Arabidopsis thaliana: one gene and its partners. The protein of the gene in region 1 interacts with the protein of each later gene in a pairwise test. Each region holds a gene or a part of one and is shown in the gene's direction. Other genes may lie near its edges.

Region 1 (8,192 bases):
AGCTCTTAGAGGCAGTTCTTAAGACCGGAAACCGAATGAATGATGGTACATTTAGGGGTGGTGCTCAAGCTTTCAAGCTGGACACTCTTTTGAAATTAGCAGACGTCAAGGGAACAGATGGGAAAACAACGCTCCTCCACTTTGTTGTTCAAGAGATAATTAGGACTGAAGGTGTAAGAGCGGCTCGTACTATCAGAGAGAGCCAAAGTTTCTCAAGTGTTAAAACAGAGGATCTCCTAGTCGAGGAAACCTCTGAAGAGTCAGAAGAGAATTACCGTAATCTTGGACTTGAGAAAGTTTCAGGCTTGAGCAGTGAGCTTGAACATGTAAAGAAATCTGCAAACATAGATGCCGATGGTTTAACAGGGACTGTTCTTAAAATGGGTCATGCTTTGTCGAAAGCTCGAGACTTTGTCAACTCAGAGATGAAAAGTTCAGGCGAGGAGAGTGGGTTTCGTGAAGCGCTTGAAGATTTTATTCAAAATGCTGAAGGAAGCATCATGTCCATACTCGAGGAAGAGAAGAGAATAATGGCTTTGGTGAAAAGTACAGGGGACTATTTCCATGGCAAAGCAGGAAAAGACGAAGGGTTGCGTTTGTTTGTGATTGTGCGCGATTTTCTGATAATCTTAGATAAATCCTGCAAAGAAGTCAGAGAAGCACGAGGAAGACCCGTAAGGATGGCCAGAAAACAAGGCTCAACAGCCTCAGCATCTTCTGAAACTCCAAGACAAACGCCTTCATTAGATCCTAGGCAGAAGCTGTTTCCAGCTATTACAGAGAGACGCGTGGATCAGTCTAGTTCAGATTCAGACTAAAAAGTACAAATCTTTGGTTTCGTTACCTGTTAGGACATAATTCATCTGCTGTTTTGCTGAGAGCTTATCTTTTCCTGCTGTGAGTGTAATGGCATTAACCCTCAAGACATGTCAGGTTTTAGTCACTGATTATGAGTTTTTCAGATGTAATTTAAAGAGGCATAGACACTGTCACTCACTTGTACCAATTTTTTTCACATTTAGTCTTAGAAATACTTTCTTTTCATATTTTTTCAATCTTGTTGGCCATAGAATAATAATCCTTTGTGTTTTTTTCTTTCTTGTACTATTACTATCAACAACAAAGAAAATCTTTATACTTCTACAAAGTGCAGTGTTTGCTTGTTGAATAAGGCATCAGCATTTTTGAAAGACATTATCATTCATATTTCGCAAAATACTTTCATATATTCACAAAAACAGAAACAACATGTCGAAACAGAAACGGAAAGAAACAAATCCCTAAAGGAATTAAAAAAAGCAAAGATACAAAAAGTGAAAACATCTAGCTAGTTATTAGGTTATTAGATCTAAAGCCAAAAGAGAGACGTGTTCTATATCATTGTGTTAAAAGACCTAATCTTCCTGAGGCTTTGAAGCACCAGCCTTCTTAGGGAGAAGGAGATTGTGGATGTTAGGCATCACTCCTCCATTAGCAATCGTCACATCTCCAAGAAGCTTGCTTAGCTCCTCATCGTTTCTGACCGCAAGCTGAATGTGACGAGGAACAATACGTGTCTTCTTGTTGTCTCTTGCTGCGTTTCCAGCTAATTCAAGAACCTGAACAAATTCAAAACACACAATTCATGATCAAACTTTCCAAATTTGAGAACTTTAACAACTCAAATCAAATTGGTTACCATAATTGAAAAAAATTTAGAATCTTGCGAGAAAACTACAACGATTCATATGATCTCGATTACCATCAACCAATCAGAACAAACCCAAAATTAGGTCAATTACAGAACTACAACAATTCAATTCAAACACGAATCTAATTCAATTTTTGCATGTCAAATTCGGAAAATGTAAGAACCCTAGATTCGTAATCGATCACGCAAAAACAGAGTCAGACGAATAAGATCGGAAACGGAATGGGAAAGAGAGAAAAGACGATGTAATTTTACCTCGGCGGCCAAATATTCGAGAACGGCGGCGAGATAAACCGGAGCACCGGCACCAACACGTTCGGCGTATTTACCGGCTTTTAAGAAACGAGCGATACGACCCACCGGGAATTGAAGACCGGCTTTGCTACTCCGAGATGTAGCTTTCTTCGCCCCACCGGATCCAAGAGTTTTTCCACGACCAGCCATTTTCAACAACAACAACCCACAAAGAGCGCAAAAAAATCGAATTTTTTTCTTGACGAAATTAACAGAGAGAAATCTGATTGTTGTTTATATATGTTGGAGGATTAAGTTATTTGACCAATAAGAATAGAGTACGCGGATCGAAGAGGTTTAAACCGTTGATTATAATTTAATGAATGGCTACGATCTGAAGTTTTTTCTCCCACCGCTTGAACTTTTGCAGTTTTTGTTGGTTTCTTCTGGACGAGGGAATTTCCAAATTTTCCATATAAACCTCAATTTATTTTATGCCCTTGAAAATAATATTATGGGCTTGGAACGCTGAACAAATCGAATTGAGTTTACGAAGTAAATGGGCCGCTTATGGGTTTAGAACTCGCCCACCAAACCCCAGCGAAGAAAATGATTTAACATAGTCACTTTTACTAATTCTATTGTGTTGTTCATATTTTTATTGAACAACCATTGTGGAATTTTATCACTATATAAATTTGATGAATTACTAATCATATAAATAACGTTGGATTACTAAAAATGTCACTATATAAAAATGTTAAAGTGAGAAAAAGAACATGCATGAAAGAGAAGAAGTTTTAAGAGTAAATTGTGTTCACCAAATCTATTTCAATATTTATGGATCCAAGTCATACGGAAATTAAGATATATCATAGCTAGATTGGGGCAGACCAGTCAATGTGGTGTGGTCGAAATGATGGTCCTGTTGGTTTTAGGTTTTAGGGCAAAACTGGGTAACCCAGAAGAAGGACATGATCTATCAACATGTTTCAAAATTCAATTTCTAATTTAATGTCTTTCCTTTTGAATTCAATATGGCTATAACGACACCCACACCTACTTCCATTATCTACCCTTTGCGATATCTACAATTCGTAATAAATGCACTTTCAAAGTTTGACAAACTCACAATTCAGATTAGAGTTATTGTGTTTTGATCATTAACGAACTGTTATTGTCATCCATTCCTTCATGTTTTGAAGTCGATATGATGTAAATACTACAGTGTTACTTTATTAGGAACAGAGATAATGCAAAAATATTGATGTACTATCGTTGCGGTTTTACTTTCGTTTATACAAATAAATCTTATATTTCACCGTCCGCTCGTATAAACATATTATGTCAACTATTGTTATTTATCAAACTAGAGTGATAAAGTTACATGCATGGTGTAATAATAAGAAGTTTAGTATAAATTTTAATGGCTTGTTAAAATGTATATTGATTACTGTCTTTCCAAGAAATGTCAGAATGTTTCATATGCTCTTATGGGGCATTTAAGAGTGAATTGACAGATGCAAGCAGAAAGAAATGAAATCAATGTTCTTTTATTCAATTTTATTTCCTATAGCCATGCTATTAATTCATTAGTAATTCTCATTTAGTTGTCACTGACCAACAATTTGTCATCATTATTGCTTGGATTAACGTATTTATGAATAGTGAGTGAATACATATGTAGTTTTAGCCTGACTAGGTTTCAGACATCATAGAAGAATAATCAACTCTTTCACCATATAATCTCAAAGGTAAATTTAGAAATAAAATATTTGTTTCTTCTTGCGAGTAAAAGTACTTATTAGACCGGTGAACCTGCTCACGCACAGTCTCATTGATTTATGATCGTATTAACTGTAATTAAATTCTGTAAGAGAAAGTTAAAGGAAATTCCAAAAGTTTAGAAGTATGACATGAATTCAAGATTCTCTACACGGTAACTATAGGAAAAAAAGATCTTTTAAAAACCAAAATCATTGAATTAATCACGATTTATGGCTAATGTTAATTTTGTTAATGAATGCAAGTTCATGAAATTTAGCTTGTTTTTTCTTTTCTTATTACCGTGCATTAAATCAAGTTTACCACTAAAAAGATTCCAATATTCAGTTAATGTGATAATTCGTAAATATGGACTAGTCTATAAATTACTATTTCATGATTTATGAACATGTTGTGAAGTCTTTTCAGTTTTTACACTTTTAAGAATGGCAAAACAGTAAGTGAAAGAAACATTCTCTCGTGTTATTACTTATTACATCGGTGAGTTGAGACATCGTAGACCTCCTTCAGATTCATTTGCTCGTACATGCCTTCTAGAAAGAAAAGAAACTTGGTTTTTTAATATATCTCATAAGACAAAATCCACTTATTATTACCTATCATCCGGCGACAATATTTAATTTATATTTATTATAGCATCACTTCCAAAAATATTCAGAAGAAGAAGATAGAGAGAAAGAAAGAGAGAGATATCGACAACAACAATGGAAGATTCAAGCAAAAAAAGCCAAAAGAAGAAGAAGAACAAAAGCAAGAACAACATCCCAACTGTTTGGTTCTCACTCAAGAAATCCCTCCACTGTAAATCCGAACCATCTGATGTCCACGACCCAATATCCACCACTAAACAGCAACAACACCTCTCCACAATCTCCACCAAGAAAATCTCCGGCATATCATCCGGCGGAGCCGCCGTATGCGGTGGTGGTTTATCAGGATGTTCAAGATCAATAGCAAATCTCAAAGACGTAATCCATGGAAGCAAAAGACATTTCGAGAAACCACCAATAAGTAGTCCTCGTTCTATTGGAAGCAATGAGTTTCTAAATCCTATAACTCATGAAGTTATTCTTAGTAACTCAACTTGTGAGCTTAAGATCACTGGTGTCGGAGACATGGCTTCACCTGTCGGAGCAGCGGATTCCGGCGGAGGTGGCGGTGGAGGAAATGGTCGGTCTACGACTTATGTAGGGATGCTTAGACCAGGAACACCGATGCATTATCTTAACCATTCAGCTTCTTACAGGAGCCAAACAAGAAAGGGTTCGTTTGCTTTGTCGGAGAGAGATCGAGGAGGAGGAGGAGGAGGAGAAGGGTTAGGGTTTCATACAAACAGAAGGGTTTCATTGGAGATGAACAGAGAATCCACCATTAATGGAGGCAACAATTCCTCTGTTTCTTGTCATAAATGTGGTGAACAGTTCAATAAGCTTGAAGCTGCTGAAGCTCATCATCTCTCTAAACATGCCGGTAAGTAAATTTAACAAATTATGCAATTTAGGCTTCATAGTAACAAAAGTTAGGTTATAAAAATCGCAACTTTTATAAAGAAAAAAACAGAGTCTTGAAAAAAACAGAGTTTTGCAATTAACAATTCAAAGCTAAAATGTTAAACTTTAACAACATTTACTCTAAATTTCCGATTTTGATTATGCAGTTTGATTCAAAGTTTCTCAAATTTATATAACTTTCATCTAAATTGCAGTAACGGAGCTTGTAGAAGGAGATTCATCAAGAAAAATAGTGGAGATAATCTGCAGAACAAGCTGGTTAAAGTCAGAGAACCAATGTGGAAGAATCGATAGAGTTTTAAAAGTACACAACATGCAGAAGACATTAGCTAGATTCGAGGAATACAGAGAAACAGTTAAAATCAGAGCAAGCAAACTTCAGAAGAAGCATCCAAGATGTCTCGCAGACGGTAACGAGCTACTTAGGTTCCACGGAACCACCGTGGCTTGTGGTTTAGGTATAAACGGGTCAACAAGTGTTTGCACGGCGGAGAAATGTTGTGTCTGTCGGATTATACGAAACGGGTTCTCGTCGAAACGGGAGAAGAATAATGGGGTTGGTGTTTTCACGGCGTCTACTAGTGGAAGAGCGTTCGAGTCGATTTTGGTTAACGGTGGAGATGAGAGTGGAGATGTTGATCGGACGGTGAGGAAAGTGTTGATTGTGTGTAGGGTTATCGCCGGAAGAGTTCATCGGCCGGTGGAGAATGTGGAGGAGATGAATGGGTTGATGAGTGGGTTTGATTCTTTGGCTGGCAAAGTTGGTTTGTATACAAATGTGGAGGAGCTTTATTTGCTTAATCCTAAAGCTTTGCTTCCTTGCTTTGTGGTCATTTGCAAGCCCTAAAACATTTAGCATGTTGGGGAAAAAGATTGAATTTTCTTTTGTTGATAAATTTATGTATCGTATAATGAGAATTGAAATCAATAGATAATTGATATCTAGATTTTACTTATTTCAATTTTTTTTGCCATTTTTTTTTGAAATGGTAATGGTGGAATGAATCGATTTATTTGTAGAGTTGTCATTTTGTTTAAGCCATTCCACAATATCGATGATAAAAAAAGGAACAAAAATGTAAATAAAATTTCTTCCACATTTTCATGATCAACTTAAATTTTCTTCACTAAAAAGTGTGTCTTTTAGCTTATTTTTTACAAGTCTACGGTTTGATAAGGTTTACCAATTCTTTTTTGTCAAGTTTAGTTCTGATTAACCATTATACTTAGAATTTTAACAGCAAGAAAACTCTCTTACGTAGAGAGACAAACAAAAAAATAAAAATTGTTCATATTATGTTGTAGATTAAATTTGTATGTTAGTGTATTAAATTGATGTGAAATCAATGGTTAAAGATAGATGTCGAAGTTTCTCAGAGTGAGAATTTAGTTTCACGGGTGGCCCTGTTGGTAAAAGTGCTACTAAATGCCAAATTTCATCCAGTAATAAAACGTTATTGAGAAAGAAAGGGAACAAGAAATTCTTTTCTCCTTCATTTTTTTTTTTCAACGACGAAACATCAAAGAAGTACAATGATACGATTACAAATTCGGATATAGAACAATACAAATGAATGACTAATGAATGCCTCGTTGGGGACTTGTTATATTTTATACTACAGTTTGCATTTTTTTTCTTCATTTTATAGAATACTAATGAAACTAAACATTTTTAAAAAAATCAGCTATGACATGAAAAATTTATGGAATGTTGTTTCAAAAAATTTAATAATTAATTGTGATTTGTGAACAATGTTTTTACGAAGTAACGTAAACAATGTTCATATAAACAATAGAAGGCACTGTTTAGAATATACATATTTACTATCAGTTTCAAAATAGTACATTGTTAATAATAAAGATTATTAAAAATACTACTATACGTAAATAGTGATGTTTCATTGTTTCATGTACTATTTTTTTTTCAAATACTGTTCTGTAAGAAAATATTCGTTTTTATTTTCCTTCAAATATTTTGGAACTATCCCCTTTTAGTCCTGGATTATGTACAAGATAGTTTTATATAAAAGGCATGGCACATAAGAACAAAAAATAACATTGATGATAATTAGGCATTTTGTTAAAACGAATAAAGTAAAATGGTCCATTGGATTCATAATGGTAGCGAGACAAAGCTTACGTCAAAGGTGACGACAAAATTCTATCCCATGCAAATATTTATTTGGAGCTTTAAATATTTCTATCTGCAAAAGCCACCCACTCATAATTATCCTCTGAGAAAATGAGAAAAATCTGAATCTGTGAGCCCAATTATAAGCCGAAGTTTCAAATCTTGAAATTTTGAACTCTGAAAATAAATATATAGTGGATAATTATATACTTATATGTAATTATATATAGTTTTCTATATAGATATGTGCAGGGCAAAATAATATGATATTCATTTTGATTCATTAACAGTTAACTAACAACTAGTATGTTTTTTTTTGCTGACAATAATAAATACAACTAATATGTGTGACATACATTTTGATTCATCGCGGATAGTATATGGGAATGAAATTTGCAAATTGGTAGTGCACAATGTAAATAAATATGTCAAAATTTAGGGGAAATACATGAATAGCGTATATTCCTATTAACTTTGGATTGAAGATGAATTGTAAATGTGTTAATTGAGGCAGAACAAATTAAAATCATGGATAAAACAATAAAATTTGGATATCCATTTTCTCTAGTTTTAATATTATAAAAGGGGTATGAATATATTGTAAATATTGGAATGAATGACAACGAGGCCTGATATGGACAGTGTATCTGCTTCAACCTAAGTAACGTTGGGATCATACCACATGACATCTCAAAGAGAATTAATTTTGATTTTGATTTTTCAGTCGACAACAATATTTTTTTCTTTTGGTCAGAAACACTCGACAAAAATCTATGTCGTCATATTCGGATCCTTTTATATAATGACGGAAACGTAATCCACTTCTAACAAGTTTATATAC
Region 2 (8,221 bases), on another chromosome or scaffold:
AGCTTTTAAGTGGCAGAAAATAGTTTTTTTTTTTTTTATAGATAAAGTGAAAAATCTAAAATGGCAAAATCAACAATAATCCAAAACAACAAAATCAACAAATCTAAAAAACTCGTTGATTGTTTTGAAGACAACAGCTATGTGGTGAAGAAAAAATGAAGAAAAACCAAAATCGACATGTGGGCTACTGTGTAAGATGCATTCATTTACAGCTACCAAACGCACACGTGACAATTTTTTTTTTTTTTTTTTTTTTGTTTGTATATATTATATAAATTTAAATACAATCGAAAACAAAAATTCTTCGTTAAACTCTTTTCAATGCTGTATTTGAAGCTTCCTATTTTTATTATTAAAAATATGTTGTTTCTAAAAAATATATATATATATATATATAAAAATTCTTTTCTTGACTCTACAAAATTTTTGTTTGCTAACAATTTTACCTTCACTGTTTACTATACAAAAAATCTCTGTTTTAGTGAATAATATATGCAACTAAGTTTTTCGCAATAAAAATACAATAAAAAAATTGTAGCTAGCTATAGTCTGGTCACAAACCATAGGAAATGTAGCCTCTAAAAATAAAATCAATAACAAATTTGTACTGATCTTTTTATATCGACATAAATTTGGTGAAAGTCCAAATAACATGTTTTTCGTACCATAATCAACCAAGTGGTGTTCCTTCAACAGATACATAAAACGAGGCAAAATAAAAGTGAACGAGGCAGACAAAGAATTTTCCAAACCTCATTTAAGGGACTAGGTTGACTTTAGTCCTTTACTTTAGAAGAGAGTTGCAGTTTTCATCTATTGTAGGGGTTACACAAAATTTGTTCTTATGTGAGTCCAATTGCCAAATTGTACATCACTCGAAGACAAATTGGGCCCAAACTGTGTAGAATGGGTTTGGGCTGCCAACCCATAATAAACCTTAAGTTGAAAATGAATTAGTTTGGCACATGCTTTTTTTTGTCATGTTCATGCTTTTAAAAAAATTCAAAATTGGCCTAACAAGTTTCACATCTCTAGAATGTTGTTCCTAGCTGGCTAGTTCCACGCACGTGTCACACTATAATTTGTCATTTCGTGAATGAAGAAATCATTCCAACACTTTTGTTATTTTGATAACCATACAAGGAATAACACGTGAAGGAATTTAGGAAACGAGAGATTCTAGAGAAGTCACCTAGTTTTGTATTTAAAAAAGGTGCTCAAAATTAGAAAAATATCGAATTTTGTTGAAAAAGGGAAAAATAAACAAAGACAAAGTAGTAAATAGAAACTTGGGCATGAAGCTAAGGATATGACTGGTCGCCGAGAATTAATAACCACACAGTATTATTACAAAAAGTATACAAACCGAAACTTCTCGCGGTGATGATGAAACCTCAACGCAATGTTATCGTCACATCAATTTGATTCCTCATTATAGTATGAATGAAAAAGCAGATTAAACAGAAAATACATAAAGAGCTCTATAACTCAATAGGAAATATTTACCACTCACCTATGTTTTTCTTACACTTTCACTCTAATTTATTTTGACAAAAGAAAAATTGTATTATATTATTTAAAGACTTGACTTTCTCTTTAATATTTTACTGTTTTTTATATTTAAAGCAATATAAAAAATTATCATCATTTTAATTAAATTTATTATCCCTACCATTTTACCAAACCAACTCAGTAATAAACTCATTTCATACACATATTTGACAAATATGTCGACTGTCAGAATCTAGAATACTATTTGTCAAATGAAAGTGATTACATTATGAGATAACGATAGAAATATCCACATCTCTCCTGATCACCAGTCAACATATCTTTTATTAACGAATTGACTGGTAGTTTAAGACGCTAATTATCCTTTGCTCTATAATACCATTTCAATCGATATTTTAACTAATTATATACTATTAGAAATGAAATGACAAATCTGCCGAAAGCTTTTTTCTTTTTAATATTTTGTCAAAAGAAGACACACAAAAAAAAAGTAAATTGTATTAGAAAAAATCCAAGACAGAGAAAAAAGTAAACGCGTAGACAGATGGCGACAGGAGAAAGAGAGAGTGGAGAAGAAGAAAAGAATTGCGATCAAAGAAAATTAGACTTCTTTCTTCCAACGTTTTCACATTACAAATACACAAAAACCAAAAGATAAAGAAAAACAAGAAATATTTTGTTTTTCGATCTGAAAAAGTGAAAGCTTCTTCAAAATCTTTGCTTTAGAGATCGTTTGGTGATTTTTTTTCTTTATTTTTTTTTTATAGTTTCTTCTTCTTGATTCTTTCATATGGATGGACATCAGCATCATCACCTTCACCAGCTTCAATATCTCAACAAGCATCATCTTCATACTCAATCGCAAACGCCGGAAATAGCCTCTCCGGTAGCTGTTGGGGATAGGTTTCCACAGTGGAGCGTCGAAGAGACAAAAGAGTTGATAGGGATAAGAGGAGAGCTAGATCAAACTTTCATGGAGACAAAACGGAACAAGCTTCTTTGGGAAGTTATCTCTAACAAGATGAGAGACAAAAGCTTTCCTCGTAGCCCTGAACAGTGCAAGTGCAAGTGGAAGAACCTCGTCACTCGTTTTAAGGTCTATTCTCTCTCTCCCTCTTCTTTCATTTTGTGGATGTTTTATAATCTTGGAGGTCTTGCATGGAACAAATAAATAAATAAAAATTTGTAACCAAGAAATATTGAATCTTATAGTCCATAATCTTTCCGGGACATATAGACAAACACCATTGTAAATATTTCTGAATCTTGTTGTCCATAATCTGCTAAGTAGTTTAATTATATGTATACAATCTCATTGGTGATGTATTGCTTGATGTTTCTAGGGATGTGAGACAATGGAGGCAGAGACAGCGAGACAACAGTTCCCTTTTTATGATGATATGCAAAATATATTTACCACTAGAATGCAGAGAATGCTATGGGCTGAATCCGAGGGAGGAGGAGGGGGAACAAGCGGGGCAGCGAGAAAGAGAGAGTATTCTTCAGATGAGGAAGAAGAGAATGTGAATGAAGAGCTAGTAGATGTCAGCAACGACCCAAAAATTCTAAATCCGAAAAAGAACATTGCAAAGAAGCGAAAAGGCGGTAGTAATAGTAGTAATAGCAATAATGGTGTAAGAGAAGTGTTGGAAGAGTTTATGAGACATCAAGTGAGAATGGAGAGCGAGTGGAGAGAAGGATGGGAGGCTAGGGAGAAGGAAAGAGCAGAGAAAGAAGAAGAATGGAGAAGGAAGATGGAGGAGCTTGAGAAGGAGAGGTTGGCAATGGAGCGGATGTGGCGGGATAGAGAGGAGCAACGGCGGTCGAGGGAGGAGATGAGAGCAGAGAAGAGGGATTCACTTATCAATGCATTGCTTGCTAAGCTTACTAGAGATGGTTCCCTCTAATCTTTTGTCAGCTTTGCTTAACCTAAATTAACTTGTTCTTATATGCTTGTTTGGGGTGTAGTGTAGGTACAATTATTTGGTGGGGGAAGATAATATCTACGGCAAATCTCAACACTCATATATTGATTGATATGATGACATATTTGAGTTTTAGTGAGGCTTTAGTAATTTATCATCCCCACATTATTTCTTCCTAGTTTATATTTTGGCGAGCCAAATTCTTATAGCATATCATTTAATCTTAGTAGTATACTGGTTTTAATTAGTAATTTGTAGGACCGTATGTGTAGTATTTTAGAGTAATTTGGATTTTGTTAGAGTTAACCTACAAATCCATATATAGTGCAGCGAATGTAATATCGGTTTCAAATATTATCTTCATGCAGAAGAGAACGAGGATACTAATAGTTTATGGTATTATGAACTAATTAACTTTGATGAGAATGTAGAGATCAAGAGGGCAAAACAGTTAGTGGAAATATTAAACATGCTCGAAACAAGAATGAAAACTTATCCTATGAATTATGGGATCATTTAGGTCCATTGTCTGCGATCTAAACTTTTATTATTTTACCATAAATGTTTTCTTGTAACATTGAGAATCATATCTAACATGGCAAGATAATACGTGAATGCGTATGGCGTTTCTTATCCACATAAATTTGTTTTACTTATGTTTTTTTTTTGTTTTCCACATAAAGATTAGTAAAGATCTTGTATTATTTTATTTGTAAATTTATATTTATATAATTATATACTAAGGAGATGCTTAATGAATAAAATACACATCACATGTTAATTCTAGAAAATACGTTAACCAGTTTTTTTTTGGTAACATTGTTGTTTCTTTATTTATTTACTAGCTATGAACTCATGCGTGGATTTATTTGTAAAAAATTTAACAGTTTTTTGTGTGACTAAAATATTTTATTGAAAATTTTGAAAATATGATTTTATATATCTATTTGTTGTTAATATTATAAACTCTTTGAATTTTAAAATTATCATGACAAATAGTAACAATTTAAATACATAACTAGAAATAACCTTTATACAACTCTTAGATTTTACAACATTTAGCAAAAGAACATTTTTTTGGTTAATGACTCTCTCTTTAGCTTTAGATATTTAGGATAACGACGTCTTTTTTTACGTATTAAATAAATTGTTGTATAGGAAATAGATTCGACGATTCTCATTTTGGTACCCGCAAATTTACTATTGTTTTTCGTTTATCTTCGCTGCATTAGTTAGTATAGCTCTTCTAAAAATAAGATATTTTGTAGAAATATATTCGTAAGTTTATCTACACTTTCTTTTAACAACTCATATTTTTCTCACATTCTTTTCAATATGTATATGAATTTCTTTCACAATTTTTTTTACAGAGAGCTATGACTCTCCCTATCTTTTTGCAAAAACTCGTTTTATTTGTTTCATTTTTTCTTACAGTGTCTCTTTCATCCTCTTATGATTTTGTCTAAGCAATATGTGCCATACCTTCTTAAATTTTCACATGCTCCATATTTCTTCTTCGAAAATCTCTTCCTTTTCTTGTTAGTATAAGCATTTTTCAATCTCGTCAAGATGTACTCTGTTTTGTTTTCTGTTATTCTAAGAAAACGTTTTAGCTTCTAAATTGATACTTAACTCTATCACTTCTCCTTTTTGATGCAGTTTAGATCCTCTTCACCTTCACGCTTCCCAGACTGAAAGACCTTAGTTTATATCTTCGAGAACTTGATTCAAATTGATACGATTAAAAACACCACCATCAAACCACGTCCTTGTTACGTTTCTTTAAATTATATTAAAATGTTGGATTACTTGTATAAGATCTTATAAGGTTTGGGTTTAATATTACATAATTATAATTCTATAGCTTCTTTTTTTTTATAAGTTTAAATTTAATATTTGTTATTTTCCTTTTCTATTTTAAATTTTAAAATAGAAAGTAATTACTATTTTCAAAATTGTTAACTAATTAGATACTAAATATGTTAATTAATGACATGTTTAACGCGGATTGGTCGTTCTAAATCCTATGTAGACGCCTTTAGAAGCAAATAGTTTCAACATTTATATAGTATAGATTTATTTGACATTACTTTCTCATTCCCACATCTTTAAGCGTTTTTTTTAAGATCTTATAATACTTTTTGTTCACAAGATGAAAATAGTTTAGTTAAATTTTATTTATCTTTTAAATTTTAATATAGTTTCGGCCGATACATATAATTCATTTGTCATCAAATACCACATTTTCCACCTGGTCCCCCAAAAGAGAAACTTACTCCAGTTGACTTGAAATAACCCCAGTATGATAGTCTATAACATTGGTAAGAATCTGCATATATCCTTGCTTTCCTGCTTTCAATATCAACTAGTTGATAATTTGAATTCTTAACTTTAACATGAACATAATGTGAACTTTTAAAATAGCTAATAACCGGAAAATGTCCATTTCCCATTGGAGGACTAATTCCATCCGGAGATGTAAAAGTATTTCCTCCAAATCGCACCAAAGAAGCTCCTTTGTTTAAGTGTGTAAATAGTTTTTTGGGCCAATAACCAACTATTTCGTTCATGACAGTGTCTTTTAGTACCCAGTTTCCACTGAAACCATCCTAACAAAACATAAAACACTAGAAAATGACTGCAAAAATATTTAAATTTTATACGCATATATGTTATTTTAAAAAGAAATTTTGATGCACTATATTGCAAAATGGAAAATTATAATGCGGATGAATGTGATTATTTCAAAAGCCTAACAAAGAATTTGGATTTGTGGCATGTTATTAAAATAATTAATAACTAAAATTCTTATCATTGTTGTCGAATTATTTGTCGTATAAAATGTGAAGAAGATTTACCTGGAAAACTTGTGGTCTGATAACAACTGATCCTTTACCACCATAAATAGAGGATTCATTAAAAGCGATTCCAATTTGCGGAACTCGACTTATAATAACAAAGCCAGGACAATTTGTATTATAACACCCAGTTTTCTTATACCCATCTGCCTAAAAATTCAAAAGAGGCAAAATATTTTGAGATACGAGATACAAAGAGACAAAATGGTATCAAATGTTTTTTTTTTATAAACATATAAAGATATGATTTATTTTAGAGAAATTGGTAAAAATGCCCTTTCAAGACTATCCCTTTTTAACTATGCTATTTCATGTTGGTCATTTTTATTTATACTCTCTTTTAATTTTTAGTGACCATTTTACCCCTATTTTGAAAATGTTTTAGGTTAACAAAATAAAATATTAATTTTTCTGCCTAAAATATTCAGAAGATAGATTTTCCGATAATTATTTTTTTCGAAAATATTTTTCCCGCAAAAAAAGAAATGGCGGGAAATAGATTTACAAGGGTTTTTACAAGATTTTTAAAGGGTTTAGAAGGATTTTAAGGATTTACAAGGGTTTTTCAAAAAAATTTAAAACATGTACAAGAGTTTTAAAACCTTATAAAAACTTAAAACTCATGTAAATCTTTTTAAAATATTTTGTAAAGGTTCACAAGAGTTTTAAAATGGTTCAAAGATTATTAAAGAGTTTACAAAGATTTTTAAAGGGTTTACAAGAGTTTTCAAGGATTTACAAGAGTTTTTAAAACATTTACAAGGGTTTTAAAACCCTTTAAAAACTATTGTAAATCATTTTAAAACCTTTTATAATGGTTTCAAAATAATAAAAAATGATTTTAAAGTATTTACATATGTATTTAAAGACTTTATAAGAGGTTTTAAAATGATTTACAAGATTCTTAACAACTTTACAAAAAAAAAATTAAGAGTTTCTGAAAGATTTACAAGGGTTTTTAAAATATTCTTGAAAATTTTACAAGAATTTTCAAATGCATTTTTTTGTGGAAATTATTTTTTGTTATGGAATTTTTTTTTGGCGAGAAATTGTTTTTTGGAATTTCTGTTTCTAATTACATATTCTCATTAGATGAGAGGTAATTTGGTCATTTTGTTCAAAAAATAGTATTTTTAAAAATGACCAACAAAAAAATATATTGTTACAAAAAAATAGTAGAAAAATGGTACTTTTATAAATTCTCTTTATTTTGTAAAGGTTAGGTATAAAGACTTTATTTTTTCTAATAATGTTTTTTTTTATTGTTTTGTTCATGTATGAAAAAACACAATTATTCGACAAAAAAAAAAACATAATTAATTCACTTACAGTCCAATATATCGTAAGTCGCGTTAAAGTATCCCCATATAATCTTGGATGCACCTATAAATAAATATAAAATATATGCTGAAGTGAGTGTTTTATCTATTTTTTAAAAAAAAATATTTTTGTCTACAATATTAATATAAATTAAAATATTAACCAAAATAATTAAGTGTTAATATTTTTGTAATATTGTATATTAGTTCCATGTATAAAATCATATGATTACATATGATTGTACACAATTTGTTTTATAAGTAATATTAACTTACCGCCCAACCAAATTGTATGCTATTAAGTTCACCTCGAGGTCCATTCTCCAACCAAATTTGACTTTTGCTATATTGGTTATTTTGTACAGTTACATTATGAATACTTATCATAGATTCTGCTCCCCGGTAGATACTTCCATCCAAAACGGTCTCGATTGTTGCAAACTGTACATCACATGTATATATATAAAAATAGGTAAGTAAAAAAAAATAAAACAAAATATAAAATGTGTATAATAAATTGACTCGTTCACAAATTATACGTGTGTTATATAATCGACTTAATTTATAGATAGAATCAATGATAAAACCCTAAAAAGGCAAGAACATG
Region 3 (7,807 bases), on another chromosome or scaffold:
GTTCTCCCACTGAAACGATGTTAAATATTATAAACCGATAGATATTTTGTATACACAGATTTGACGTGTCATGTGTACTAAGTGACCAGTGAAACATTTCCTGTGAGAATACTCCTTAGCTATACAGTGATTACGAACGGGTTATGGTGTCTCTATGATATCCTTAAGATTGTTATCTCTTCTTACTTAGTCTGAGTCGCTATTAGATACCTCTTCTACTGGCAGCTCAAATGCATCAATCTCTGCAAAGTAAGCTTTCTGCTTCTCGATATAATCCTGACAAGCTGCACTAACCGGATCCTCTTTCTCTTGCTTTACCGTCCGCTGTCTCTGTAATGTAACCACAAATGCAGAATTAGATTTGGAGCAAACTTATATGTTACCAATAGTCATAAGGCTCTATAACTGAACAATGGGAGTTCCAAATTGCATATCTCATTAAACAGTAATCCCACTGTATCTCGTGACAATATTCTAAATCCAACTTTTGAAAAAAAGAAGAATATACATGAAACTGAAGGACTAGGCAATTCACTTCAAACTATGTGTAGCACTGGTTTCAGACATGTGGCAGAAGAACGTTGTGAACAATCAATGTTGAAACATACAATGCACTGATATACACTTTGCTAGAGCCATAAAACCAATAGATCAAAGTATTGACTACTTTTTCGCAGAAAGATGATAACAACATAGAATTATTACAGTTCTGATAAGTAAACAGCCAGAGCTTTCCTGAATTCACCTTTTTTGGAGCCACTTTCAAGGTCTTCTTTTTGTTTTCACTAGCTTGACGTGTTTTCTTCCTGTGATACAAATTTCAAAGAAAATTAACTAACAACAACATGGTTGATTATAAACAGCCCACAAAATGCTAAACAAATTTGATGAAAGTTAACTGTAACACTAACAAAAGTTATCTCATCTACTATTTCTTACTGACAAGATTCTTTCAAAAGAACAGGCATCAATAAATTAGTCAGCATGAACTACATTCTATCCTGATTCCATATGTACATTAGCTACTATTAGCCATGCCAAATCAATTTTCCCATAGCAAATATATGATCGAATGGGTTTCATACCCAGAGCTTGATGACAAGTCGAGACGAATGCGAGCTGCTGCACTAGTAGAGGAAGATGCGTCTTTACTTCTTTTTTGTCCAGAGGCCTTCCTTCTTACCGTGTAAACAGACCAAGGCTCAGTAAAATCCTTGTCACTAACACCTAAGCATAAGACAATTATTTAACATCAGTATAAGATAGACACAGAAACCAATTTTGCAAAAATACCAATTGAAAATCAACAGAGACTGAGAACTAGCTTGATAGCAATTTTCAATCCACTCAATATTGGTGCCGTTTTGGAAATTTGAAGTGACCCAATTAGTGCTCTTCCACTATAACAGAAAACATGATAAATTCAAGCATCAATCTAAACCTTCTTCCAATAATTCCTAAAAATACCCAAAACCCGAAAACTAAAACCCTAGAGTTGCGAACAATTTCAATTCAGATGAAATTCCTTAAAATTTGATACAGTATAACAAAACTGGAACAAAATCATCGCAGCTAAATCAATTACCCATATCAGATCGCGATGTTTGGGGACGAGAAGGAGCTGAGGCCGGAGAAGCCAGATCAGCAGACATACGGCGAGTTACGGGTCTAACGTCCGTGGTAATAGGCCGAGAAGCGATTTCGGGAGCAGTCGCCGAAGTATTAACATCTTTGGGTTTCTCCTTGAGCGTAGTTTGTTCTACTAATCTCTTTAGTGAAGAAGTGAGACTCGGATTCGCGAATTTTACAGAAGAAGATGACTGTTGAGAAGATCTGGAGACGGTGTTAGTACAATCCGCGAGCGGTTTCCTCTGTATTCTTCCTCCGACGGAGCGAGGAGCTTCCATTTGTTTACCCGGCGTCGGAATCTTGGGATGATTCATCTGAGGTTTTGTGGGAGAAGATTTCTACTCTCTGTTGGCGGGAATGTGAAAAGCACGAAAAGAAGAAGAGTTCTGAAGAAGGCTCGAGAGAGCTTGAGACGATAATAATTGAGGATTTAAGAGAAGCCCAAATTGGGAAAGTATCGTTGGGCCCATATTTTTTATTTTATCAACTGGGCCCATGATTTTGTTTTGACAGCACTGGGCCCATATCATAATCTATTCTACTACCTTTTTAGAACTTGATGAGGTGTAGGGGATCAACAAAATTATTGCTTTTCTTTTTGTAAGGATAATATTAAATATATTGTATAGAGGGGAACTGTTTTTTAGAAGTGGGAGCAAAGTATTAGAGCATTATGTATCAAAGACTTGCGAGTTGTTGACCAATTAATAAAGGAATTGCAACTTTAGGTGATTGTGATGTGAGGCTGAAATCTTTGTAACCACCAAGTAGACAAAGTATGATTCAGCATTGTATGATATATACGTAATTTCAATAACGATTGGAATATAAAGATTCTTGCATTTCGAGTTATGTGATGAGATCTTTAGAGTTGTGTTGAAACACGTAAATTGCGATCGTCATTACACGAGTTCCTCGAATAGGTTCGGTGAGAGGGACAGAGAATGAGTGCCATATTTCAAAACTACACGCATTATTGATAGATATATGCTGATGTGTTTCTTTGATGGACGTCGCATAGGAAAGCCACAATGGAAATATTGATAATGTTAACTACAAAAAAAAGTTTGGGAATCCATATAAGAAACCATATTATACTTGAGTCTCTCATTCCTATGCTCACTCGAGTAGGATTCCAAAAAACGGTACACATCGATTTTTAGCCACTTTTTAAACAACAAAATATCAAAGAATATATTGGTCTCATGACCGATTCTGAAAATTCAGCTACTTACTGTTTAGAATTATAAAATTCAATATGAATAGTGATAGATAAGATATTCGCAATTTTGAATGATAACAATGTAAAACCGCAAATTGTGAAACTTTTGTCCATCATTCAAAAAATTTAGTTTTTGGCAAAACAATCCGTGAAAAGGACAACATTATTTATGTATCAATACACCCCACTACCTAGTCACCTAAAGATAAAATGAGTTAGTTCGGCTTACCATTCAAACTCCACATGTATAATATGATATTTTTATAGATTGACATATAATATTTGTGTTTTATTGTTCATGATATTCTTTAGAAAGCTTGAAAATAAAATATTAGGATAAAAATAGTTTTCTCTAAGTTCATAGTCAAATACTACTATCTAATAAAAGTAAACTTTGATTGACCCCATATATATAAAAATTAGGTAATTGGTACTGCAACAAAACATGTGTAGTACAAGGAGACCTCATAGAATTCTTTGTACTTGTACTTTCTGTTAGTGGATTTTAAAGTTGGTAAGCTTTTTTCCACATCAGGTATAACTAACCTTCCTAAACCTTTATACTTTATTATTGGAAATATGGTAAATGCACTAATTCATAATGTTCTCGTTTCCTTTACGCTAACTTCTCCGAATCTTTGCTTTTGCGTTACTATAAATATTCAGAAGACACCATTTCTTCTCATTCAACAAACAAGCATCTCATTCTCTGATTCGGTCCATCGATCTCAAAGGCTCAAAGCTTAATCGTTTCCTTTCTTCTTATTCTAGCCATGGCTCAGGTAATTTTGTGACTTTGATATTCTTCTTCTTTTTTTCTCCATTTCTTGGCCATGAAACGATGGAATAATGTTTTTGAGAGACATTGATCTGGAAGCAGGAATGTCTTTTTGTGTCCATCTCCAAAAAAGATGCTAGCAATTGTCTATATATATCGGTTATGAGAGTCCGATTAATCAGTTTTTATGATAATAAATATTTTGGAATGAATTAATATCAAATTTCAAGAGGGAAGAAAAGAGATTGATTGGTCTAGGTCTAGGTTCTATCTGTAAGTACTATAATGTCCGATTAGCACCACTTTGAAATATTCATCAAAAAAGGTAAATATTATTAAGCTAGAGCACAAAAGATAACAGTTAATAATTGTGATAAAATTAGCTGTTGATATATTTGGACCGAATTGGTCCTATGTATATGGATATGGTTCTTACATTTTCGGATTAAATTGTCTAATTAATGCAGACCGTTGTCCTCAAAGTTGGTATGTCATGCCAAGGCTGCGTTGGTGCCGTCAATAGAGTTTTAGGCAAAATGGAAGGTATTTCTCTCTAATCTTTTTTTCATGTCTTTCAAATACTTTCTACTAATCATTGTTTCCCTTTATTTTAAGCCTTATAATTTATTGACTCTATAATTTATTATATAATCTCAGGGGTTGAGTCATTTGACATTGATATCAAGGAGCAAAAGGTGACAGTGAAAGGTAATGTTGAGCCTGAAGCAGTTTTCCAAACAGTTTCAAAGACCGGAAAGAAGACTTCTTACTGGCCAGTGGAGGCTGAAGCTGAGCCAAAAGCCGAGGCTGATCCTAAGGTCGAAACCGTGACTGAGACTAAAACCGAGGCTGAGACTAAGACTGAGGCTAAGGTTGATGCAAAAGCTGATGTTGAACCAAAAGCCGCAGAAGCCGAGACTAAGCCATCACAAGTTTAAGTATACTAACGATGAAAAGGAAGGCTAATCTACCTTTACAATGCTTCTTTATCTTTTGCTTTTGTGTGTTGTTGTAAGAAATGCTTCCTCTAAATACCTAATATCTTTATGTATGTATACCTTTTTCAACTATTGATAACAAGATGTTGGACCCATGTTGGTCCGACTTTCTTTTATAAGAAGTTTTAAGTGTTTTACTAGTTAATTAAATACTGCGAGAGTCTTAACTTTGACTTATTATAAAACTCAATCCATTCAGACATCTGTCTGAAAATAGGCAAAAACAGAATGAACCATTTTCAAGAGAAAATTGTAAGATGAGCCGGCCTGAAGAACTTGGAAGCCCCAAGCAAAAGTTTTTCTGGTCTATTTACATATTTTTGTAAGAAGTTGGACATTAGGATGGGATTTGAAGTTTGAACTCCCCTTGGTATTTATATAAGCCCAAAACCAAATAGACTAATAACTTATTTTGTTATATATGTGGCCCTAATAGTACATAATATTCATGTGGATTCAAATTTGAGTTATCATCTTACCTGAATTACTATATGGGTGTGATTAGTATACACTAATCTAGCTAATCCATTCAGAAAACAATTCGTGCTAAGATTTGGATTGCACATTCTTACAAAATTAATGAGTTATTAATTAATATTTTTCCCAAAAATTAAGTCAATTAATGTTGAAGCTATAGGAGCGACGTGCTTACACTACACATATTTGCTGTTGAAAGGTTGGAAAGTCCTTTTCTTCTTTACCAACTTTTTACGTCTTTTAGCTTTTGAAGCTATCTATCGTATCTCAAATCTCTGTATTCTTATCTACTCTCTAAATCATTCTTCATGAGTTAACTTTACTAAATTATGTACGGTTAGCATCGATCATATACATGCGAAGCATATACATATATCCAGTCAAGCATATAATAAACAAATTAATAAATATATTGGATTTGTTTCATTAAATTAATTAAGTATATAACATCCCATGAAGGTTCCAAGTTCCAACTATACAACTGCCCCTAAAAGATTCCTTCATGTCTTAATCATTTCATCTACGTTGTTTTATTTGTTAAATTATGCTCAACAACTCTTTACGGAAACAATCATGTACCGAGTTGATTATTAACGAAAAATATATTTAAAAATGTTTCAAGAACGTAGCCATCTCTAACCAATTCTTGAACCATACTTTACCAACTTGCGTTCGAAGCAAGAAACTGCTCCTCCATCATCTTCCTCTATTGATCTTCTTCATATTCTCAAGTTTACTCCAAAAATTGCGAGGTAGAGAAGAGGAAACTACAAACCAAGAACATTAAATGGATTGCTCAATCTGCACCACAATGCCATCTATATTAAGACCACCAAGAAACACAATATGTGGATCATGCTACGAAGGGGCTAGAACAACAATTGCGCTGCTCAAGAAACTTGAGGGCTCGAAAGAAGATCGTCATGACAAATCGAACCATAATTCCACCATCAATAATGGCTCCTCTATTTCTTCGTCTCCTTTGTTTTCTTGTGAGGTAAGCTTCTTATGTGTATTTGCACTAAGTAGTCTTTAATTTATAAAACATTTCAATTATTTTTTAGAAATCAAAACACATTAATTTATTGGCTTAATGATTTTTAACTATATATTTGTGCGAGAATTTCAGCCGCAACCATTAGAGAAGGTGATCAAATGGATGAAAAACATGAAAGAAACCGAAGAAGAACAGAAGAAAAGAATAGTCTTCTTAAGCAGCTTTGTGTCGGGTTTCAAAGAACAGCTTCATGCTGATATTCTTCTAAAACCGGGCGATGATGGCCCTCCAATTCCTGCACATAGAGCTTTGCTGGTAATTCAATGATCGCTAGCTACTCTCTTTTAAAATTTAATTTTATGGCATGGTTAGTTTTATAATAGGATGTTGACATTTTAAAAATACAATAATTTATAGGGTTTAAATAAAAATTCAATGGCGTTTGATGTTTATGTAAACAATTTCAAAAGTACAAATTAAATAGAAAAAAAAATAAAGTAAAATATTTTAACATGACGCAACCATTAAATTTTGTTTTCTAAAAACGAGTTGGGTGCTTATATATATGTAGGCTTCAAAATCTGAGATCTTTAAGAACATTCTAGACTCAGATGGATGCAAAACCGCTCCAGAATACGCCATAACGCTCCAAGAACTAAATTCCGAGCAACTTCAAGCTCTCTTGGAGTTTCTATACACCGGTACATTGGCTTCAGATAAGTTGGAGAAAAATGTCTACGCGTTGTTTATTGCAGCAGATAAGTACATGATTCATTACTTGCAAGAGTTGTGCGAGCAATATATGTTAAGTTCCTTGGACATCTCTAGTGTTCTTAACGTTCTTGATGTCTCGGATCTTGGTTCGAGCAAGACGCTGAAGGAGGCTTGTGTAGGGTTCGTGGTGCGGAACATGGACGACGTCGTTTTCTCGGATAAGTACGAACCTTTCTCTCAGAAAAACCAACATCTATGTGTGGAGATCACAAGGGCGTTCTTGATGGAAACGAGAAGCAAGAGACGTGACTAATTAAATTAGTGAGATTATCAATGAATGTTTCTTCTATAGCTGTTACTTGATTGATCTTTAATCTTCCAAGCTAGACCTTTTCTTTGTTTGATAAAAGGAAAATATGTTTTACGCATGGCCCATATTCCGGCCCACTAACAGTAACATATATAAAGCCCATCAAACCAACGATTGGGACATATTAAGTATTAACCGTTCATAACCTAGCGAAGGGTTTAAGTGGCAAAAGATTATCGTTCCCTTGGGCGGTTTTAAAATCGAATCGACAGAAAAGGGAACAGAGTTGAAGAAGCGAAATGGATAGAGAGGATCTTCTTTGCTTTTGAGCTGGTCAAATTCACTAGAGAATAGGAATAGTGTCCTTTTGAATCTCCAATATGATCAAGCTATACACGTTTTCGCATATTAGTGATGAATTAACTAACTTGCTGCTAAAGAAATTAATTGACAGATTTGATAATCAGAGAGACATACAATTGATTTATTTTCCTTGATCATATGTCTATCTAAAGATCTCTTTTTAGGTAAAACAAATGTAAATTATATATATAGAAAATCTAATGAATACTTGATCATATATGTCTAGCCTTTTTGAATCATGCATGGCTATCACTCCAGGTCCTTATTGCTTCTGCCACTGCCTGTTTCACTGCTTCAGCATCTATGCAGTCTCCATCAT
Region 4 (6,945 bases), on another chromosome or scaffold:
ACAATGATGTGAATATGCTATGTTCAGAGTGGTCCAAACAAGGGCAGACCGATTTGTTCTTTCTGTAATAGGGTTGGACATATTGCAGAAAGATGCTATAAAAAGCATGGATTCCCTCTTGGTTTTACTCCTAAAGGCAAAGGTGGTGACAAGTCTCAGGTGATAGATTCAGGAGCAATACATCATGTATCTCATGATAAGAGTCTTTTCTTGAATTTGGATACTTCTGTTGTGAGTGCAGTGAATTTACCAGCTGGTCCTACTGTAAGAATCAGTGGTGTTGGTACATTGCGACTTAATGATGACATTCTTCTCAAGAATATCTTATTCATTCCTGAGTTTCGCCTGAATCTAATCAGTATAAGTTCTCTGACTGATGACATTGGTTCACGAGTAATATTTGATAAGACTTCTTGTGAAATTCAGGATCCTATCAAGGCTCGGATGCTTGGTCAAGGTAGGAGAATTGCGAATCTATATGTGCTGGATATTGAAGATCCTATTGTCTCAGTGAATGCAGTGGTTGATATCAGTATGTGGCATCGAAGACTTGGTCATGCTTCTCTACAGAGATTGGATGTTATTTCAGACTCTTTGGGGACTACTAAGCCTAAGAATAAAGGCTCAGATTATTGTCATGTTTGTCATTTAGCTAAACAGAGAAAGTTACCCTTCCCTTCTCAGAATAAAGTTTGTAATGAAATCTTTGATTTGTTACACATTGACATTTGGGGTCCTTTTTCAGTTGAGACAGTGGATGGCTATAAATATTTTTTGACAATTGTGGATGATCATTCCAGAGCTACATGGATTTATTTGCTTAGAAACAAGTCAGAAGTTCTTACTGTGTTTCCTGCTTTCATTGAACAAGTTGAGAATCAGTATAAAGTGAGAGTAAAGGCAGTGAGATCAGATAATGCACCAGAATTGAAATTCACAAGTTTATATCAGCAGAAAGGGATTGTTTCGTTTCATTCCTGTCCTGAAACACCGGAGCAGAATTTAGTGGTTGAGCGTAAACATCAACACATACTCAATGTTTCTCGGGCTCTCATGTTCCAATCTCAGGTACCACTCTCTCTTTGGGGTGATTGTGTGTTAACGGCTGTGTTTCTTATCAACAGGACACCTTCCCAGCTCTTATCAAACAAGACTCCATATGAGATTCTCACTGGTACAGTTCCTGTTTATGAGCAGTTTCGAACCTTTGGTTGTTTGTGTTACAGTTCTACTTCGCCAAAAAAAGACATAAGTTTCAGCCGAGATCTAAAGCGTGTGTGTTTTTGGGATATCCTGCTGGTTACAAGGGGTACAAGTTAATGGATTTGGAGAGTCACACTGTGTTTATCTCAAGGAATGTTGTTTTTCATGAGGAGGTATTTCCATTGGCTGTGGATCCAAAGTCAGAGAGTTCTTTGAAGTTGTTTACTCCAATGGTTCCTGTGTCCTCAGGTATTACACAATCTCCTATCTCTTCTCTTCCATCACAAATTTCTGATCTACCACCACAAATTTCTTCACAGAGAGTTAGGAAACCTCCTGCTCATCTGTCAGATTATCATTGCAACATCACGCAATCTAATCACAAATATCCTATTTCCTCTACTATCTCTTACTCTAAAATTTCTCCATCTCACATGTGTTATATCAATAATATCACAAAAATTCCTATTCCCACCACATTTGCTGAGGCACAGGACACCAAAGAATGATGTGAGGCTGTTGATGCAGAGATTGGTGCTATGGAAACTACACACACTTGGGAGATTACTACTTTACCTGCAGGGAAGAAGGCAGTAGGGTGTAAATGGGTATTCAGTTTGAAGTTTTTGGCAGATGGCAGTCTTGAGCGGTATAAGGCTAGATTGGTTGCTAAGGGTTACACTCAGAAAGAAGGTCTAGACTATACAGATACTTTCTCTCCAGTGGCAAAGATGACTACAATCAAGTTGTTATTGAAGATTTCTGCCTCTAAGAAATGGTTCTTAAAACAGCTTGATGTGTCTAATGCTTTCTTGAATGGTGAGTTAGAGGAAGAGATTTACATGAAGTTACCTGAAGGTTATGCGGCAAGGAAAGGTATCACTCTACCTCCTAATTCAGTCTGTCGATTGAAGAGATCCATTTATGGTTTGAAACAGGCCTCTCGTCAGTGGTTTAAGAAGTTTTCTGCTTCATTACTTGATTTGGGTTTTAAGAAGACACATGGTGATCATACTTTGTTTATTAAAGAGTATGATGGAGAATTTGTGATTGTTTTGGTTTATGTTGATGATATTGCTATTGCGAGTACAAGTGAAGGTGCTGCAATACAATTGACTCAGGATTTACAACAGCGATTCAAGTTAAGAGATCTTGGGGATTTGAAATATTTTTTGGGTCTTGAGATTGCTAGAACTGAAGCTGGTATTTCTATCTGCCAGAGAAAGTATGCTCTTGAGTTATTAGCATCTACTGGTATGGTTAACTGTAAACCTGTTTCAGTTCCCATGATCCCGAATGTGAAGATGATGAAGACTGATGGTGATTTGTTGGATGATAGAGAACAATACCGTCGTATTGTAGGAAAGCTGATGTATTTGACAATTACTAGACTTGACATCACCTTTGCAGTTAACAAGTTATGTCAGTTTTCCTCTGCTCCTAGGACGTCTCATCTTCAAGCTGCTTATCGAGTTTTACAATATATCAAAGGCAGTGTTGGCCAAGGTCTGTTCTATTCTGCATCTGCAGATCTTACTCTTAAAGGTTTTGCAGATTCAGATTGGGCTTCCTGTCCAGATAGTAGGAGATCAACAACTGGATTCAGCATGTTTGTGGGTGATTCATTGATATCTTGGCGTTCCAAGAAACAGCATGTGGTTTCCAGATCTTCTGCAGAGGCTGAGTACCGTGCCTTAGCACTGGTTACGTGTGAACTGGTATGGCTTCACACTTTGCTCATGTCTTTAAAAGCTAGCTACTTGGTTCCTGTGTTATATTCTGATAGCACAACTGCTATTTACATCGCCACAAATCCTGTGTTCCATGAAAGAACGAAGCATATAGAGCTAGATTGTCACACGGTTAGGGAGAAACTAGACAATGGCGAGCTGAAGTTGCTTCATGTGCGAACTGAAGACCAAGTAGCGGACATTCTTACTAATCCGTTATTTCCCCATCAATTCGAACACCTTAAATCCAAGATGAGCATTCTTAATATCTTTTCATGCACATCTTGAGGGGGCATATCAGATATGTATATTGGTTTAGTTGGTATTAGTTGGTTTAGTAGAACCATTGTATAGTGTAAAGTATATAAGACATTTGTACAGAATCATTTTACAATTAATGAGAAAAGGCTTCATAATATCTTCAACAAACTTTTCTCTCATCTCTATTCCGCTAATAATTCATTTTAACGAAGTAAATACTATTTTTAAATCCACTCTCATATTTTAACCATTTTTTAGTTAAATTTAATATAGAAGAAATTATTTTTAAAAAAAACTAAATATGAATTAAATTATTTTTAGAAGGGGAAAATAAATTAAATTCATATGTATCAATTAATAAATAAAAGGCAACTGAAAAAAACGTCTAAAAGCCTCTATATAAAAACCACATCACCACTCTCACAACATCCCCTTCTCTTTCGCTTTCTCTCTTCTCTCTTCTCTCCATTAACTTCTCTCTCGTTTTCTCATACTCTCAACTTAATATGCCGTCGGAACCAAACCAAACCCGACCCACCAGAGTTCAGCCCTCAACGGCGGCTTACCCACCGCCAAATCTGGCTGAGCCTCTTCCTTGTCCTCGCTGCAACTCCACCACCACCAAGTTCTGTTACTACAACAACTATAACCTCGCTCAGCCTCGCTACTACTGCAAATCTTGCCGCCGTTACTGGACTCAAGGTGGTACACTCCGTGACGTCCCCGTCGGTGGTGGAACTCGTCGAAGCTCCTCAAAACGTCACCGTTCTTTCTCCACCACTGCCACCTCCTCTTCCTCCTCTTCTTCCGTCATCACCACCACGACACAAGAACCAGCCACGACTGAAGCGAGTCAAACTAAGGTTACTAATTTAATTTCAGGTCATGGAAGCTTTGCTTCTCTGTTAGGTTTAGGAAGTGGAAATGGTGGGTTGGATTACGGGTTTGGGTACGGGTACGGGCTTGAGGAGATGAGTATTGGGTATCTTGGAGATTCTTCCGTAGGAGAGATTCCGGTGGTTGATGGTTGTGGTGGTGACACGTGGCAGATTGGGGAGATTGAAGGTAAAAGTGGAGGAGACAGTTTGATATGGCCTGGTCTTGAGATCTCAATGCAAACCAACGATGTTAAGTGAAAATGAAACCGTTTCTGATTTCTTGCCTTTGTCTTCTTTTGTTGGTGTCTTTTTGGAAATTTCTGTTTGTTTTCTTTTTTTTCCTAGAAAGAAGAGCAAAAGAAACCAAATTGAAGCAAAAATGTTTTTATTTATTTTAGTTTTTGAGGTCCAACAATTCTGGTGTATAAATCCTCTGTTTATGTGACGAACATATTGGAATGGATTTACAAGTAAAAAGTAAAAACGTTTCTTTCTTTTTATTTTGGTTGGTTAATATTTTGAAAGGAATAGTCAAATGTAGAAAGATGAATTGAGCATAAAAGTCCAAAAAGGGAAAAAGTACATAAGTACTGTTGCAGAAGTGAGTAAGAGATGCTCTGTTGCTACATCTTTGAAATGAGGAAATTGCGTTGAACTTAATTTTGTTTGTATTATAGATAAACATCAACAACAACATTGTTCATTTGCAGTGTAGAAGATTTTGTATATCAAAGTCATGTGAGTCTAGTGTTTAGCATATGAGACAATTCATATGAATGCTAAGAACTAAAACCTTTCATTCGATCAATGGATTAGAAATTCTTAGGGTTAATGTAGATTATGGTGTACTTATCAGCTAGTGTTATTTTTTTGTAAAAATCTTTAGGTTTAATCCTTGTGTCAAACATCTCAGCTAGAGTGTACTTGGTTAAACGTTCAAATAAAATTTGAATGTAGGGAATATAGCTAATAGATATTGTTGTGTAGTCTCCTATTGTGGTCAAAGCAAGAAAAACGAATTGTGTTGAATATAATTAACGGTAACTACATCATGACTATATTGAGAATGATGCTCAAGTTTATTACCAACTAATAAAACTTTTGCCCACCTAAATCAATCAACAATGTTCAGTCAAAGCGTAATCAGCTCCACTTAATTGTATGTCAAATTTATTCTTTAGTAACTTAGTTTGAGTCATGTTCATCCTTAATCCACAAACACAAGGTGTGTTTACAGCTCCGGCCCAACATATATTTGAGCCTTAGGGGCAAAAACATTTTTTGAACCTTTTGTTAAATGAAAAAAAACGTCGGGACATTTTTTGGAGTTTTTTTACGAGTAACTTTTGAGCACTTTGAACATTTTTAAAAATATGTATTAGAGAGAACACTAACATAACATGGTGGCTCAAGATGGTTTTGATTGTTTGTTGATTTGCACAGATTCGTTTGCTCCTAATACTCGAATCATTACGAATTCAACTAACAACAATATTATAGAACAACAATTACGTATTATGCTCTAAGTTATCATATTACCTATTTTTTATTCACATTAACAAATTTTGCATTCTTCTCAATCATAATAATTAAGGGACTCCTTCTTCATCCCTAAACTCTTTTCATTTTTAATTTCATTGATATCTATCCCACTAATCAAATTTTTTTTCTTTTTTTTTGCCACTCACTTCTTATTCCTATAAACGTCTATAATCGAAACTTATTTCAAATAAGTTATTTGCATCTACTGTATTCGAAAACATAGATTAAGCATTTTGGTGGCATGCCATCATAAGATCATTACAAAAACTAAAGTGTTAACTATTAAGTATTCTTTACTTTCCCATAAAAATTTGTCATCTTTAATATATTATTCAACAGTGGAAGTGGGTGTCATTGACCTTCAATTGTCAAATTAAATCAGAGTCATCATGAGATTTGAATCATTTGCTGAGAAAAAACACGAAAATTGAATCCTCGAAAGAATGTTTATTTTGAGCCAAAGGTTGTCTATAGTTATTAATGACCAACCACCCAACATTTGTTTATCTATCTCCATAATTATACAACTATGATGCCGTTTCCCAGTTTGTGGCTTCTTACATCATTATCTCTCAGCATGTGTGTTGTGACTTCTCTTGGCTTATCCCTACATCAATTATTATTATGCTCCTCAGTTTTTTTCCAAACTAAAAGCATAATATTAGACCAATATTTTCACATATTTTTTACGAGATCAATATAGAATTTCTAACTATGATTACTGATTACCAAATGAATAAAAGGAACAGCAAAAATTATTATAACTAATAGTTTAAATAACCGAAAGATAGAATAGAGGCTACTATATATATGATAAGCTTCAATGTTGACATTTTATATCAATTCTTTGTTTTATTGACTTTTAGTTTTAGTTAAACTTGGTTGTTGCAAAAGCTTTCAACAAGGTTTTTGAAGATAAGATACACACATACTGGGTCATGAGTCATGACTAAAAGAGTTTCTTTTTTCCAAGCATGCTTATTTATTGTTAAAAGTAAAACACGTTTGAAAATTTAATAGGTGATTAATCTATGAACCAAACAAAAAAGATTTTGATTATCTAAATCCCACAAAAATTATTACATGTTGTAAAAATGCAAAGAAATAAACATACGATATATATCTTCACTTAACAAAGTAACAAAAATAATTTTTATATATCTTCAAAAGCATACTATATACCAATTTTTAGAAGAAAAAATATATATTTTAATGTAATTTTTATTACTTTCACAAAATGGTGAATGTAAAGGCAGTATATGGATATGAGGATGAAAAGGGTGAGACCGCGGTAGTAAAATTTTGGGAATGATCTCTGTTTGTACCGAAGT

The links.
Region 2: the proteins of AT5G54630 (region 1) and AT2G38250 interact in a two-hybrid assay, tested with the Arabidopsis thaliana proteins (one large-scale study listed by BioGRID).
Region 3: the proteins of AT5G54630 (region 1) and AT3G56230 interact in a two-hybrid assay, tested with the Arabidopsis thaliana proteins (one large-scale study listed by BioGRID).
Region 4: the proteins of AT5G54630 (region 1) and AT1G47655 interact in a two-hybrid assay, tested with the Arabidopsis thaliana proteins (one large-scale study listed by BioGRID).

What each region holds. Positions count from the first base shown.
Region 1 is NC_003076.8:22,190,482-22,198,673, reverse strand, and holds AT5G54630 (zinc finger protein-like protein), read left to right. Parts: upstream 1-4,114; 5' UTR 4,115-4,413; coding exon 4,414-5,179; intron 5,180-5,414; coding exon 5,415-6,067; 3' UTR 6,068-6,307; downstream 6,308-8,192. Other genes in the region: Fh5 (formin homology5), read left to right, coding at 1-818; RAT5 (Histone superfamily protein), read right to left, coding at 1,395-1,598, 1,946-2,134.
Region 2 is NC_003071.7:16,016,082-16,024,302, forward strand, and holds AT2G38250 (Homeodomain-like superfamily protein), read left to right. Parts: upstream 1-2,128; 5' UTR 2,129-2,302; coding exon 2,303-2,608; intron 2,609-2,855; coding exon 2,856-3,419; 3' UTR 3,420-4,075; downstream 4,076-8,221. Other genes in the region: AT2G38255 (hypothetical protein (DUF239)), read right to left, coding at 6,263-6,445, 7,625-7,678, 7,891-8,055.
Region 3 is NC_003074.8:20,860,220-20,868,026, reverse strand, and holds AT3G56230 (BTB/POZ domain-containing protein), read left to right. Parts: upstream 1-5,631; 5' UTR 5,632-5,891; coding exon 5,892-6,101; intron 6,102-6,233; coding exon 6,234-6,416; intron 6,417-6,672; coding exon 6,673-7,128; 3' UTR 7,129-7,307; downstream 7,308-7,807. Other genes in the region: AT3G56250 (uncharacterized protein), read right to left, coding at 211-330, 746-806, 1,086-1,227, 1,586-1,943; CCH (copper chaperone), read left to right, coding at 3,625-3,633, 4,097-4,172, 4,287-4,567; AT3G56220 (transcription regulator), read right to left, coding at 7,725-7,807. UniProt on the Arabidopsis thaliana protein: May act as a substrate-specific adapter of an E3 ubiquitin-protein ligase complex (CUL3-RBX1-BTB) which mediates the ubiquitination and subsequent proteasomal degradation of target proteins.
Region 4 is NC_003070.9:17,521,737-17,528,681, forward strand, and holds AT1G47655 (Dof-type zinc finger DNA-binding family protein), read left to right. Parts: upstream 1-3,605; 5' UTR 3,606-3,700; coding exon 3,701-4,330; 3' UTR 4,331-4,572; downstream 4,573-6,945. UniProt on the Arabidopsis thaliana protein: Transcription factor that binds specifically to a 5'-AA[AG]G-3' consensus core sequence.